Linked DNA regions of Tribolium castaneum. The protein of the gene in region 1 interacts with the protein of each later gene in a biochemical or structural test. Links are inferred from orthologs where the notes say so. Each region holds a gene or a part of one and is shown in the gene's direction. Other genes may lie near its edges.

What was found.
Region 2: of the proteins of csw (region 1) and hyx, one has a biochemical effect on the other in vitro, tested with the Homo sapiens proteins (2 studies listed by BioGRID and IntAct). The link is inferred for Tribolium castaneum from reciprocal best matches to the Homo sapiens genes PTPN11 and CDC73.

Annotation. Positions count from the first base shown.
Region 1 is NC_087398.1:136,686-143,136, reverse strand, and holds the start of csw (tyrosine-protein phosphatase non-receptor type 11), read left to right. Parts: upstream 1-2,655; 5' UTR 2,656-2,873; coding exon 2,874-2,887; intron 2,888-3,111; coding exon 3,112-3,234; intron 3,235-3,284; coding exon 3,285-3,479; intron 3,480-6,451. Other genes in the region: Ge-1 (enhancer of mRNA-decapping protein 4), read left to right, coding at 337-502, 682-853, 907-1,057, 1,286-1,509, 1,570-1,753. UniProt on the Homo sapiens protein: Acts downstream of various receptor and cytoplasmic protein tyrosine kinases to participate in the signal transduction from the cell surface to the nucleus. Positively regulates MAPK signal transduction pathway. Dephosphorylates GAB1, ARHGAP35 and EGFR.
Region 2 is NC_087400.1:8,949,564-8,955,893, reverse strand, and holds the start of hyx (parafibromin), read left to right. Parts: upstream 1-2,805; 5' UTR 2,806-2,846; coding exon 2,847-2,977; intron 2,978-3,061; coding exon 3,062-3,287; intron 3,288-3,340; coding exon 3,341-3,486; intron 3,487-3,540; coding exon 3,541-3,754; intron 3,755-6,330.

The DNA of each region.
Region 1 (6,451 bases):
CTAATTCTACTTTTTTTTAACCTTTGCCCACACTCTTAATATAAAATGTGAACTTCATGCTACATTCAAATTTCCTTCTATTTTATAACTTTATTTGCGAATAATGTTATTCATTGTTAAACTATACTGTGATATTTTTATTAATTAAATTATCAAACCAAAAATTGAAAGTAGTATCTCACAGTCAGTGGACAAAGTATCGTATTCTCGCTTATAAGGGCTAATATTCACTCGGCTTTGGCTCGTTTTGTAAACTTTATATTGGTGAATAGTAGTCAGTGTTATAAGCTCATTGAATAATGTTCTGATATTCTGTTGTTATTTTGATTTTTTAAGGCACTAGCGGAGTCGCTCAGTTTATCAGTGGCCAATGTGATAACGCCTATTTTAGAAAAATGCTACCGGGATATGATCACGTCGACTTTGGTCCCGTCTTGGGAGAAAGTCTGTGGAAATATGTTCCACCAAATTAACGAAACTTTCACACAGGGCACTAAGGAATGTAAGTGTAGTTTATAATTTTTCCGAGTTGATTTCTATTTTGCACATTTAACAATGCTATTCGACAAGAAAACGACTGCAAAAATTAAAAAAAAAAAACAGTTTTATCATTCAAGCGATGGTCTGTTACTGTTTCCCCACTTGCTATTACACGGCTTGTATTTTAAAACACTATTTTAGATACCGCTTCTGTTGAGCATTATATGGAAAGGCAACGACGGGTTCAAGAGAGAGGTAAGGATCTGATCGTTCAAATGCAATCAGTTTCGGAAAATTTGCAAATGAACACGGATAAGTTAGTCGGAACTTTGTCGTCTGAAATTCACAAACAGTTCAATACATCCATGAAGCAGTAAGTTGTGTTAAGAGAGAGAAAATGTTGTATGTGGCAATTTTCATTTGTAGTACGCAAGAGAATTTATTACAGAGTATGAAGGATTTAATTAGCGAACAAATTAAGTTAGGTTTTAAGAGTCACGCTTCATTTCTGGAAGACAGTGTAATCAACGCGGTGCGGTCTCGAGCTGTGACCCCTTCACCACATGTTGAATCACAAGTATGTTTTAAATATCCGTATTTTTCATCAAAAGGTAGACGGTATTAGGTTTTTTTTTCAAAAAATTATGAAAAGGAATTCTATTTTTTGTTAATTGTATTTGAATAGATTAAATAAAGTTTATTTTGGTTTGTAGGATATTTACTTCCCCCTTTTTGTTACGTCTATTGTGTGTAACGCAGGTCGATGATGTAATGTTTAGCAGAGTTGTACCAATTTAAATTGTAGGTTACTTTGGCACATCTTGATCATCTACTGGCTAAAGAAAGTTACGATGAAGCATTCCAGTTGGCGCTGTCGGCGGAAAATTTGAATTATGTGATTTACGTCTGTGAGAAGGTGGATAGTAATATTCTCTTCCATGGGTCTTCTCCACCGCCTCAGAACTGTATTTTAGCTCTGATACAACAGTTGAGTATGGAATTACACAAAAATACCGAAATCAAATTGAGGTGATTAGATAAATATACCTGTTATTTTTAATTACACGGTATGAATGTTTGTAATTTTAGTTACATAAGGGCTGCTTTGGTTGCTCTAATCCCGGGATACCCCCACACGAGACAGTTTATTCCCAAAGTTTTGAAAGATTTGCTGAAACAATTACAACTTTTTATGACCACAAACCCCTCCTCAAAGTTTATCACCGAGGCAAAACTACTTAAAATGGCTGTAGAAAGCATCTTGGACAAATAGCTGGAACAATTTATTTTATCCGCGTACGTTACTGTTTATTTTAACCCGACTTGTCAAAATTTATTTTGAAAGTATTTTAACTGCTGTGTCGTTATTACTGTGAATAGCAACTTGCTATATTTGATAGGTTGTGTATAATTTTTTTGAAATAAACTTCTCCAATGCTGTAAAAATTAATTTTAACTGGGCACACAAATTTTTGAAGCCGATACTGTTGATTAGTAATGACAGCTGGCAAACTTCACAAAATTAAACTTACTATAATATGTAAGGTTATGTCCTGTCAGATGAAAATTAAAACACAAATTTGAAAGCAGCCAAAATGCAAAAAAAGCCGAGAAATAGCGTTTTTGTTGAGAGGCTCCACAAAGGTTTTGTTTGTACGTGCATAGCGGTAACAATTTACGCCACTTCGGTACTGGCTATGAGGGGCTATCGATACTTTGTTAAAGAGAAGCCCGAATTAAAGCAGAAGCAGCTTGTAGAGCAGGCAAGTCTTCTAGCAGAGGGATCACCGGACACAGCTCCAACCATACGAGCTTAAATTCTTGATGTAGATAGAGTTTTGGTACTGTTTTTACCAGAAACGGTGTAGTTATGTACATTATTTTAATATAATCCATGATTTAAAATATAGAATGTGTGAAAAACTGTAAAACAGCTTCTTGTTTAGGTTTTGTGTAGATAGAAGCAATGGATAAACAATAAACTCTATAAGTTACTTTTTTTATTATCTGAAAAGTACGGAAGTGTGTGAAATGGTTTGAGTAACATACTGTTTTTGCTAATTTATTAATAATTAGTGAATGCATCCTGTTATCAATAACATAGATAATGATAAAGTGTTGTAATAGTGCATTTCCTGGTTTACAAAATCATCGTAGATAGTAAATGCACAAGATTGTTACTTAATTCACATAAGAAGAAAAACCGTAAATTAATAAAATAATTACTGTTTCTTTGAGTTCAGTTCGAGTTTTGGGTCACCTGGTATATAGAAATTGGTTAGAGTTTTTGACCGTCCCTTGTAGATTCAAGATGGTGGCTCACGTAGGAGATAGTTTTTGCAAGAGGTTTATTTTATATTCATAGATTTTGTAACAAAAGTCCAACCAAAAGTATGAGTTCCCGAAGGTAAGCGCTTAATTATCCCGAATGTTAGACAGGACCCACGAAGTTGCCTCGCCAATATCCCACAAGTAAAATTTCTTTGTTGGAGTAATAAGTGCGAGCTGTCAAAAAGTCTTATTTACACAGCAACAGTGGGAATTTGTTTATTTTTTTTTATTGTTGAATAAAGATTTTTCAAGGCCTACAGGGTAGGATGCCTTTCGTTGATAAAAACGGTTTCATTGCAGATGGTTTTGGCCCACAATCAGTGGGATAGAGGCTGAAAGAGTTTTAATGGAAAGAGGAGTTGATTGCAGTTTCTTGGCAAGACCTAGTTCAAATAATCCCGGATCGTTCACGTTATCAGTCAAGTAAGTGATGCCTTTCCACTTTTGTGCCCCCTTGTTTCACGTTTTGGCAGGAGAAATGGAGAGGTTACCCACATTAAAATCCAAAATTCTGGAGACTTTTATGACCTGTATGGCGGCGAGAAATTTGCAACTCTCTCAGAGTTGGTGCAGTATTATATGGAAAATCAGGGGCAACTTAGGGAGAAAAATGGGGAAATTATCGAACTTAAGTATCCCCTGAGCTGTGCCGACCCCACAACTGAGAGGTGAGTCCTATTGTAAACCTTATTTTTGCATAATAATTACATAATTGAGCCATCCAATTAATGGTTTTTGTTACAAGTTATGCAACACAACTGCCACCAGAAAATTTTGCATATATTCTGTAGTGCAAACATTCGCAATAGTTTTCCTTATCTGCGCAATTTTCCAACATACATAAAGATTTATTCTTCTAGACGGTCGTAAACAACGATTTAAAATTCCAGTAAAATTACAAACCGATTATAGCTATTTATACAACTAGTTGCAAAACGAAGGCTTTTTTCGCATTTTTTTTTAGAAATTTACAAATAATAATCTTGCGGATTATTGTCACAAATTTTAGCTTAGAGGATTAATAAAACATCTATTTATCAATATCATGAATAAAATCAGCCGAATTGCTGTTTTTTTAACGCATTTATTCTTGTCTTTGTGTTCGCTTTCGAGAAAGCTATCAAGGTGCAAGTGTCACAAGATTGCAACAGAAAATAAAAGTAGCCTGAATATTTTTCTCACACCATTGATGACGCTCTGTTTTCTATTTTTCTTTGATATGTATCAGTGCGATACTATTATGTTGGCATAATTAATGATTAAGTAGACCTTCATGAGACCGCGTAATATTGTCAATGCAATGTGTGATCCTATCACCTGCATGGAATACTAATCTCTACCATCTCACATATTGTATATGTCGAACGTCACGTCTTTTTCTGCTTTAGGACGTTGAAACAATCATTCTTCATATCCTGTTACTGCACATACTTCTTAAGAATGAGCCTCTTAGTCACACTTTAATATTGCTATAAATTATTCGATCGCTAATGTCCGCCTCGGAAAAGGAAGGAAGTGACAATTAATTAATATACAAAATGTATTCGAGATTTTTTTGCATAGGAGGGTTGAAAGCCGTGATAACATGTATGCAAATTGTGTTTGTAAGCATAAAACACTATAATTTAATTTCCAATTTGACAGAATTCACCTACGTGCCAATATTTAATGAGTTTTAGGCACGTGTATTTCTCGATTCCTTTTTCGAAAAGTCGCGTAGGTTGTATTTATCATAAATGTAATTGATTCATAATTTTACTTGTAACCGTATTTATTACAAACTTTCTCAAACTGTAAATTATTTCACATTATAAAAATCATTAAATTATTACTTCATAAGGAATCAATAAATCCATAGACCGCTTTTAATTTAATGCAGATTATCTGGTATTTTACCTTGACAACTAGTTTTTGTAATAATTTTACATTGTACAGTTTTATGGAAAAACAAAAATTATGTAATACCTTTTTTAAATCAAATTCTTTGATGGTAGACTACTAATTAAATATACGAAACAGCAAGCTGTACAAAACAGTTTAATTAAGGACAAATTTTCAGTGACTAACGCAACAAAATTAATATTAGAAAGGTTTCTCGGTGTAAAATATCGTATACACGATTTGAAATTGTTACTTTATTAACTTATTTATTGGCTTCATAACAATAATTATAATGTATTTTTAGTTTTAATTTATGTATTGACGTACAAAGCATCATCTTATTCAACTCAATCATGGAATGTTTTTTTTAATGATCTAATTAAAATTCAGCTTGTTTGCTAAAATATTTTTTCCTAATTTCAATCAAATACACAAATTGGTAGGTCTCTAGGAATTTTTTTATAATCTTATGCCAAAATACTTCTAATGAAGAAATACCTTTAATAAAAATATGGTAGAAAATTATTTTCGAGATTAATGATTAAAACCAATAGTAAAAAGTAAAATGAAATTAAAAAAAAATTAGAAATTTAGATTTGAGTATCAAGTGTTTTCATTTTGTTTTCACTACAGGAAAGTCTTTACTGTTTCAAGATGGAACTTTTCACAAAGTGTTGAAATATGTACGAATAATGAGGTGTTTTTACAAATTAATTTACTTCTCAAGGTCATGGTTTTACGTTTATTTATTAACATACTCATACTAACAAGATTTAAACATAACTATTGTCAATAGTAAAGTCTTGAAAAATATTACAATGCGTGAAAGGGTGTATAGTAAATTCCACGACCATTTTTGGGTGCTTTATCTTGTGAATCAGACAGTTGGTATGCATTGAACAAATTACAGTTAAAAACCTTCCCAAAAGAATCATTCAAAAAATAGGAATTATATTACTGAATCACCCTTTACATAGCTACACACTGATTTAACGTAATAATAACAGCTCGCGTTTCTATTTAAGGAATTTGTCTTTGTAGTTTTTTTTTATTTCAAAGTTGTGGAATTTTAACATAAATGGGTGAATCATTTGTTTATTAACACTCGTAGAGTAATTGCACGTAAAAAACTGAATAAATAACGTTTTATGACTATTTAAATAAACTTGAACTAATTTAGTGCAGGTGTTTTTCTTTCAAGGCTCATCTTATTATAATTTCACTAAAACAAATTTGATACTCTCCTCCAACCAACGCTGCCACCTACACCTTATGGTTCCTTGGAAGGTCGCAATAATTCTGTCCTCGTTTTATTTTTTCCGAATGAAATTTACTTAGTATGGGACTCATATTCGAATACACAGACTTGTAAAATCGACGAATTTCCGCATCAACTTTTCTAAGTATTTTTATTCACTGCAACGAAAAGCCTTGTGTGAGGTTGCTTCACATTGTCATCGCGTGCCTTGATGATGACATTGAAAAATTATGTGAACTGAATAGTTCCTTCAGGCACCAAAGGAAAAAAATCTTGGAAGAAGAGGTCGCCACGTCTAATTGACTTATAAGGTGGATGCAAAAACACATCCTCTTATGTGTGCAGGACAGAAAGCTGCACTGTGATCCACTTATTCGGGTGTAGGTGTTTTAATACTTTGTAAGCAGGAATAAAAAACGAGCGGATTAAACTGAAATAAGTGTTTTGGCCATTTGGATGGAGGAAGGCCAGACCCAAAGACAAAAAATAGTCGCTACTTGC
Region 2 (6,330 bases), on another chromosome or scaffold:
TTTGAAGTTTCAAATTTCTCAAAGGCCCAGTTTCTGGCATGATTATTAAGTAAGTTAAATTTGATCGCTCCGTTAGTTGCTAAGGTTTATAAGTTTATAAGATTGGTGTTGTTATATTTAACTGCGGTTTAAATTTTTCTTTACGTCATTTATGTTACGGGAAACTGGGCCTTAATTAATTACTTTGTGTGGATGTATAAAAAATATAAATATTAAATGTTCTTGCAGTGATTTATTATTTAATAAATTTTAGTTTAACTTATACGAATTATAGAAAAATATAGCACTTTCTCTTAAAGTTAGTGGTTCAACAAATTAACAGTTAATGTAATTTATAGTTTCAATGAAAGATCTAATCATTAATAACTATTTTACATTTTTATCTTCCTTATTAAAAAATATTTGGAAAAATGCGACGTTGGTCTTTACATACGAGTACTTTTGAAACAGCCAATATGTAATTTGAGACGTAAAAATACATAGTACAGTAAAACCTCTCAGCAATGGACACCGATGGGGAATCTTTAATTGTCTGTTGTGGAGAGGTGTCTACTAATAAGAAGTGGACAATGTTAATGTAAATAAATATATATTCTTTTTTTAATAAAAATCAAATGGCTGTAACTGTGACAGGAATGAGACAAAGTAACCACATAATTCAAAAAGAGCATCATTTAATCTACCAAACATATCTAATCAAATTTAAATCAGCAGCAAAAGTATATTTTACAGAAAATATTTTACTAGAAGCAGATTTCTTGTATAACTTAAGTATGTATATTAAATAGGTTAAATAAGTTTTGTATAGCTTTAAGTGAATTTAATTCTTTCAATTTTTTGATCATGTTGATAACTGTATAAGATTTATAACAGTCAACGTTTTGATCTTAAATTTTTTGTTATTGTTAGATATATATGTGTTTTAACAAAAAAACTTTTGAAATTAAAACTAAAACATTGAAAAAAATAAACAATTTTTTGTTTATCCACGTCCACGTCCGCTATACAGAGGGTCCGTTGCAGCCAGTTTTTTTTTAAATTATTTTGCAATAGTTTTGATACGTTCCTACAAAATGTCCGTTCTAAAGAGGTGTCCGTTATTCTGAGGTAGGTTTTACTTTTTATTGTACTAAGTAATTTTATCAGAAAGATGAAGCAATAAAAAAATGTACCTATTATTAAATACACTAGAAATATGTATGTTAATTACCATTAAAAAAATAAAAAATTGGAATAAAGTCAAAATAAAATAAATACAAAATGAATACGGAGAATAAGATGTTTTCCTGATTTCGATTTGCTTTTTTAATTCATAATTAGGTATTTATTAACAAAAATGAAGACTATTTTAGAGATTATTATTATAATAAAATAAATTTTAAACGATTTTCAATCTCTTTAATTTTAGGGATTTTAGGAATTACAATAAAAAAAATTAAAAAAAAAATGTTAATTTATTTTGTGGCATCTTAAAATTAGATAAACTAACATTCAACAATTTTGTCTTCGTAATGTGATGTAATGTAAATTCTATAATTTTTAAAGTCTAAAGTATAGTGTTGTTAATACCTAATTGTTTACTTTTTTGTATATTTAGAAACAAAACTTCATATTGAATAAATGCTTTTTGGATAAATATTTTACTTTATAGTTATCTTATGTTAAGACATCTATTTTTTTAAATTTTAATTAATAATTTGTTAATAATTACCCAGATTTTATGGAAGTAACAGTTTTGCTTTAATGTTTTAATAAGTTTTATGTAGTGAGCCACTTTTTCACTTTTTTCAATTACCTATGCAGAGTCAACAGGGTGAGTCAATAGTGGGTTATTTCTGAATTTCTATAAATATGCAACTAATGTTTTCAACTTCATCAAAACGCTGGAAATACGGTTGAAGATACAAAAAAAGATGTAAAGAACAAAGTTCCTTTTGTAGTTTAGTTAAAAATTAACTGTCTGTTACTTGAACACCGGTAAAATAAAACGAATTCGTCGTCAGCATCTTTGAACGTCTTTAGGGTCTAAACCGTTGATAAAGATATGGTCTCGCGGACTCTTTTTAAAGAAAATTTAATTCTCTACAAATTTTTTTGTAACATTTTTCTTATAACTGTGTCCATATTCGTAGCGTCTTGAAAAATACGGGATAAAGCGCAGATAGATTTTAAATTAAAAATTTTTTTTTTCAAGTTTCTTATGAAAATTTTTGTCGTCATTTTTTTTTCAGTGTGTTAAGAAGACAAAACTTAACATTTATGCATGTTTTTCCAAGTACAGACTGATCCAGAAATACTGAGTCTGTTGGCAACACTGAACTTAAATTTTTAAGGATACCAATGGACTACGCTTCCTGTTAACAACAATGTAATGTTCTTATGGGGCTGTACGTCAAATAATTGTCAAAAAAATCGAATTCGGTTACAATTTTGCAAAGTACAAGCATAAATACTTTCAAATCTGTTGCTAACAAACTCAGTATTTCTAGATCAGTCTGTATTTAGTAAATTGGTTAGATTTATTAAATTAATTTAAAACGATTTGATGCCCAGTGGGCATAACGCTCGAAGCGCCCTCATTTTTTCTCCGCCGTACTATTTTTTTGATTTCAGAAAATCCTGCAATTTTTTGTGTTGTTCCGTCTTTTATGTTATAGTCCTTCGTACTTCACACCCACATGGTTTTATTAAATGCTAATTTCATACGAATAAGCCATTTTTCAGTATTTCAATGTTCGATTTATTTTAATAAATGTATGCAACTAATAAAACAGCAGCTTGGGATAAAGTTTTTCAGGTGTCGACTGGTGGCAGCATTGGGCTCAAAAGTAGTGCAGTAAACAAAAATGGCGGACCCTTTGAGTTTGCTTCGCCAATATAATGTGAATAAAAAAGAAATAATCGAACGCGAAGGCCAGATAATATTCGGGGAATTTTCCTGGCCGAAAAATGTGAAAACCAATTATTTAATGTGGGGGTAAGTACCGTTCCAAGCCGCCTCCGCAACCCACCCTTCCATCTGTTGACAAGCTAACCTCAAAATGCAATGAAAAATTTCTAGTTCTGGCAAAGACGGAACCCCTAAGGAATACTACACGTTGGAATGTTTGTTGTTTATTTTGAAAAATGTATCACTGACTCATCCTGTATATGTGCGACAAGCCGCTGCTGAGAATATACCAGTAGTGAGAAGACCTGACAGAAAGGAACTCTTGGCTTATCTAAATGGCGAAACGGCGAGTTGTCCTGCGATTGATAAAAGTGCTCCTCTTGAAATACCCACACAGGTTTGTTTTTTGTGTGAAAACGCGGCTTTTTATGTACAATTATTTCTTTGTAGGTCAAAAGATCTGCTGACTATGAAGGGCCTGAAAGTATTGCAAAAAAGCCCCGGTTTGAGGACTTGCATGTGCAAAAAGTTAGGGAGAAGTTGGCCGCCCGACTCGATGCCCCTAAAGAGGCTTCAGTCACTGTTGATAATATCAAGTAATTTACTTGCTTTCTACAAATGAGAAACAATTTTTAACTGACGATTTCTAGATCATTGTCTGAAGCCATGTCTGTGGAAAAAATTGCAGCGATTAAAGCCAAGCGTTTGGCAAAGAAACGAACCACAATTAAAGGCAATGATGATATAGGGCAAGAGTACGACATTCGGGCTATTCTTGACTTGGATGTGGACTTGACCAAAGACATTATCAGTCGTGAGAGACAGTGGAGGACCAGAACTACAATTCTGCAATCTAATGGCAAGGTAAGAATTTGGCAAATTCTTGCAATTTTAATTTTAAGTTCGATAAACTAATAAGATCTTATCACTAAACTGCATTGTTTTTTATTTTTATTTAGAGGTTTAGTTTAGTCAGATTTCGCAAAACAGAGCCAGAAAATCTTTTTCAAGCATTTTCCAGCCATGAACGCAATTCAAAAATAAGCCGGAAAGACTACCAAATTATGTTGGATGTTATTTTTATACCCGTTTAAGCACTAAAAAGGCAGTTTTTTTGACTAAAAGAATGTTATTTACCCCCCTTTCGGGTATTACGCACATTTTTAAGCGCCAATAGAAAACAATGCTATTTTTTGACTGAAAGTTCAATCCTATTATTTCCAAGTTGTTGTTTGGTGGGAACAAAGAATACTAAATTATGCCGAAAACGACACGATTTGTTATCTTTTTGAGCCTTTGTGACCAGTTGTTAAATCAAAATCTTGTCAAAAATATCGGGTGATTCAAAAATATGTGGCATAATTTTAACCACGAATACCCCTCTAAAATTAAGAATAGATAGGATAGTATTTACTGACCCACACAAAAAATAGGAAAATTACAATTTTTCAGAAATTGGTATGGGAAATGGTTTTTTGAAAACATTTTTGTTACCGTTCATGCGATTATTATGAAATTTTGTATGCCAAGAGACACAAAGACGCTCTATGATATGGTGTAAATGGAAATCTTGTAAAAGCTATACATTTTCGGTGACAAGGGGGCCCTTCCAGTTTTTAGGTGGTAACTCAATTTTTCGGCCTATAAACACGTATTTTTGATATCAAAAATCAAAAGCTCAATTATTTTTTAATAAAAAAGGAACTCTTGCTTCATATCGCCAAAATGTACCGTTCTCGAGTTATTTGGGATTAAACTAAACTCTATACCGCAGTGCAGAATAAAAAAGTATAAATTTTGAGCGTACCATTACCTTGGAAACTGTCTACTAAGAATGACACAGCTGTCATTGCTGTCACATTTGATGTCAATTTCATTTAATCTAAAGTAAAGTTTGATTATTTCTTGATGATAATAGTTAAAGACACGATTATGTGTTGGAAGAAATAATCTATGAGCTAGCGGTAGCCGTCCCGGCATCACAACTTGATCTGATGCCACACCACCAGAAAACGATTATCCCTCCAAATCGCTGTTTTTATCAATATTTCAATACTTGCATTATAAAACTATCTATAACCCAAATAAAGGATTAAAACAATCAGAGACCAAAACACAACCTCAACTGTAACAAATCACAAAATAAAATCTTATCAACTATTTGTAATGCCACTATTGCAATTTTTCTTTAATAGTAAGTTAATTTAATCCACAGGTTGTTGAAACCTGCAAAGAATAACGCACGGTTTAACGTTTATTTACATTTTTAAAAATTACAAGAACTTCAACAACAATAAGCATGAAAGCAACAAATGCCGCTAGCGCGCTAGCTGGCGCCTGTGGTATTTTTCGTAAGCGCGAAAAACAAATCATGAAGTCATAACGATAAAAAAATTCTTTTAGTATTTGGAAATGATGCCCTGATCAGCCCATACTGGTAAATCTAGTTAAAAAAATGATCCAGGTTATTGTTGTTTAAAAAAAGAACATTGACTTCATCATTCATATTTTCTTTGATATTCGCGCTTATGAAAAATAGCACTGGCGCCAATTAGCACGCTGGCGGCATTTGTTGCTTTTGTGCTCATTGTTGTCGAAGCTCTTGTAATTTTCAAAAATGTAAATAAACATTAAGCCGTGCATTATTCTTTTGTGGATCAAATTAACTTCCTATTAAAGAAAAATTGCAACAATGGCATTACAAATAGTTGATAAGATTTTATTTTGTGATTTGTTACAGTTGAGGTTGTGTTTTGGTCTCTGATCGTTTTAATTCTTCATTTGGATTATAGTTTTATAATGCAAGTAGTGAAGTATTGATAAAACCAGCAATTTGGAGTTTATTTCTTCCAACACATAATCATGTCTTTTACTATTATCATCAAGAAATAATCAAAATTTACTTTGGATTAAATGAAATTGACATCAAATGTGACAGCATTGACAGCTGTATCACTCGTAGTGAACTGTTTCCAAGGTAATAGTACGCTCAAAATTTATACTTTTCTATTCTGCAGTGCAGTGTAGAGTTTAGTTTAATCCCAAATAACTAGAGAACGGTACAGTTTGACGACATGAAGCAAGAGTACCTTTTTTATTAAAAAATAATTGGGCTTTTGATTTTTGATATCAAAAATACGTGTTTATAGGCCGAAAAATTGAGTTATCACCTAAAAACTGGAAGGGCCCCCTTGTCACCGGAAATGTATAGCTTTTACAAGATTTCCATTTACACCATATCAAAGAGCGTCTTTGTGTCTCTTGGCATACAAAATTTCATAATAATCGCATGAACGGTAACAAAAATGTTTTCAAAAAACCATTTCCCATACCAATTTCTGAAAAATTGTAATTTTCCTATTTTTTGTGTGGATCAGTAAATACTATCCTATCTATTCTTAATTGTAGAGGGGTGTTCGTGGTTAAAATTATGCCACATA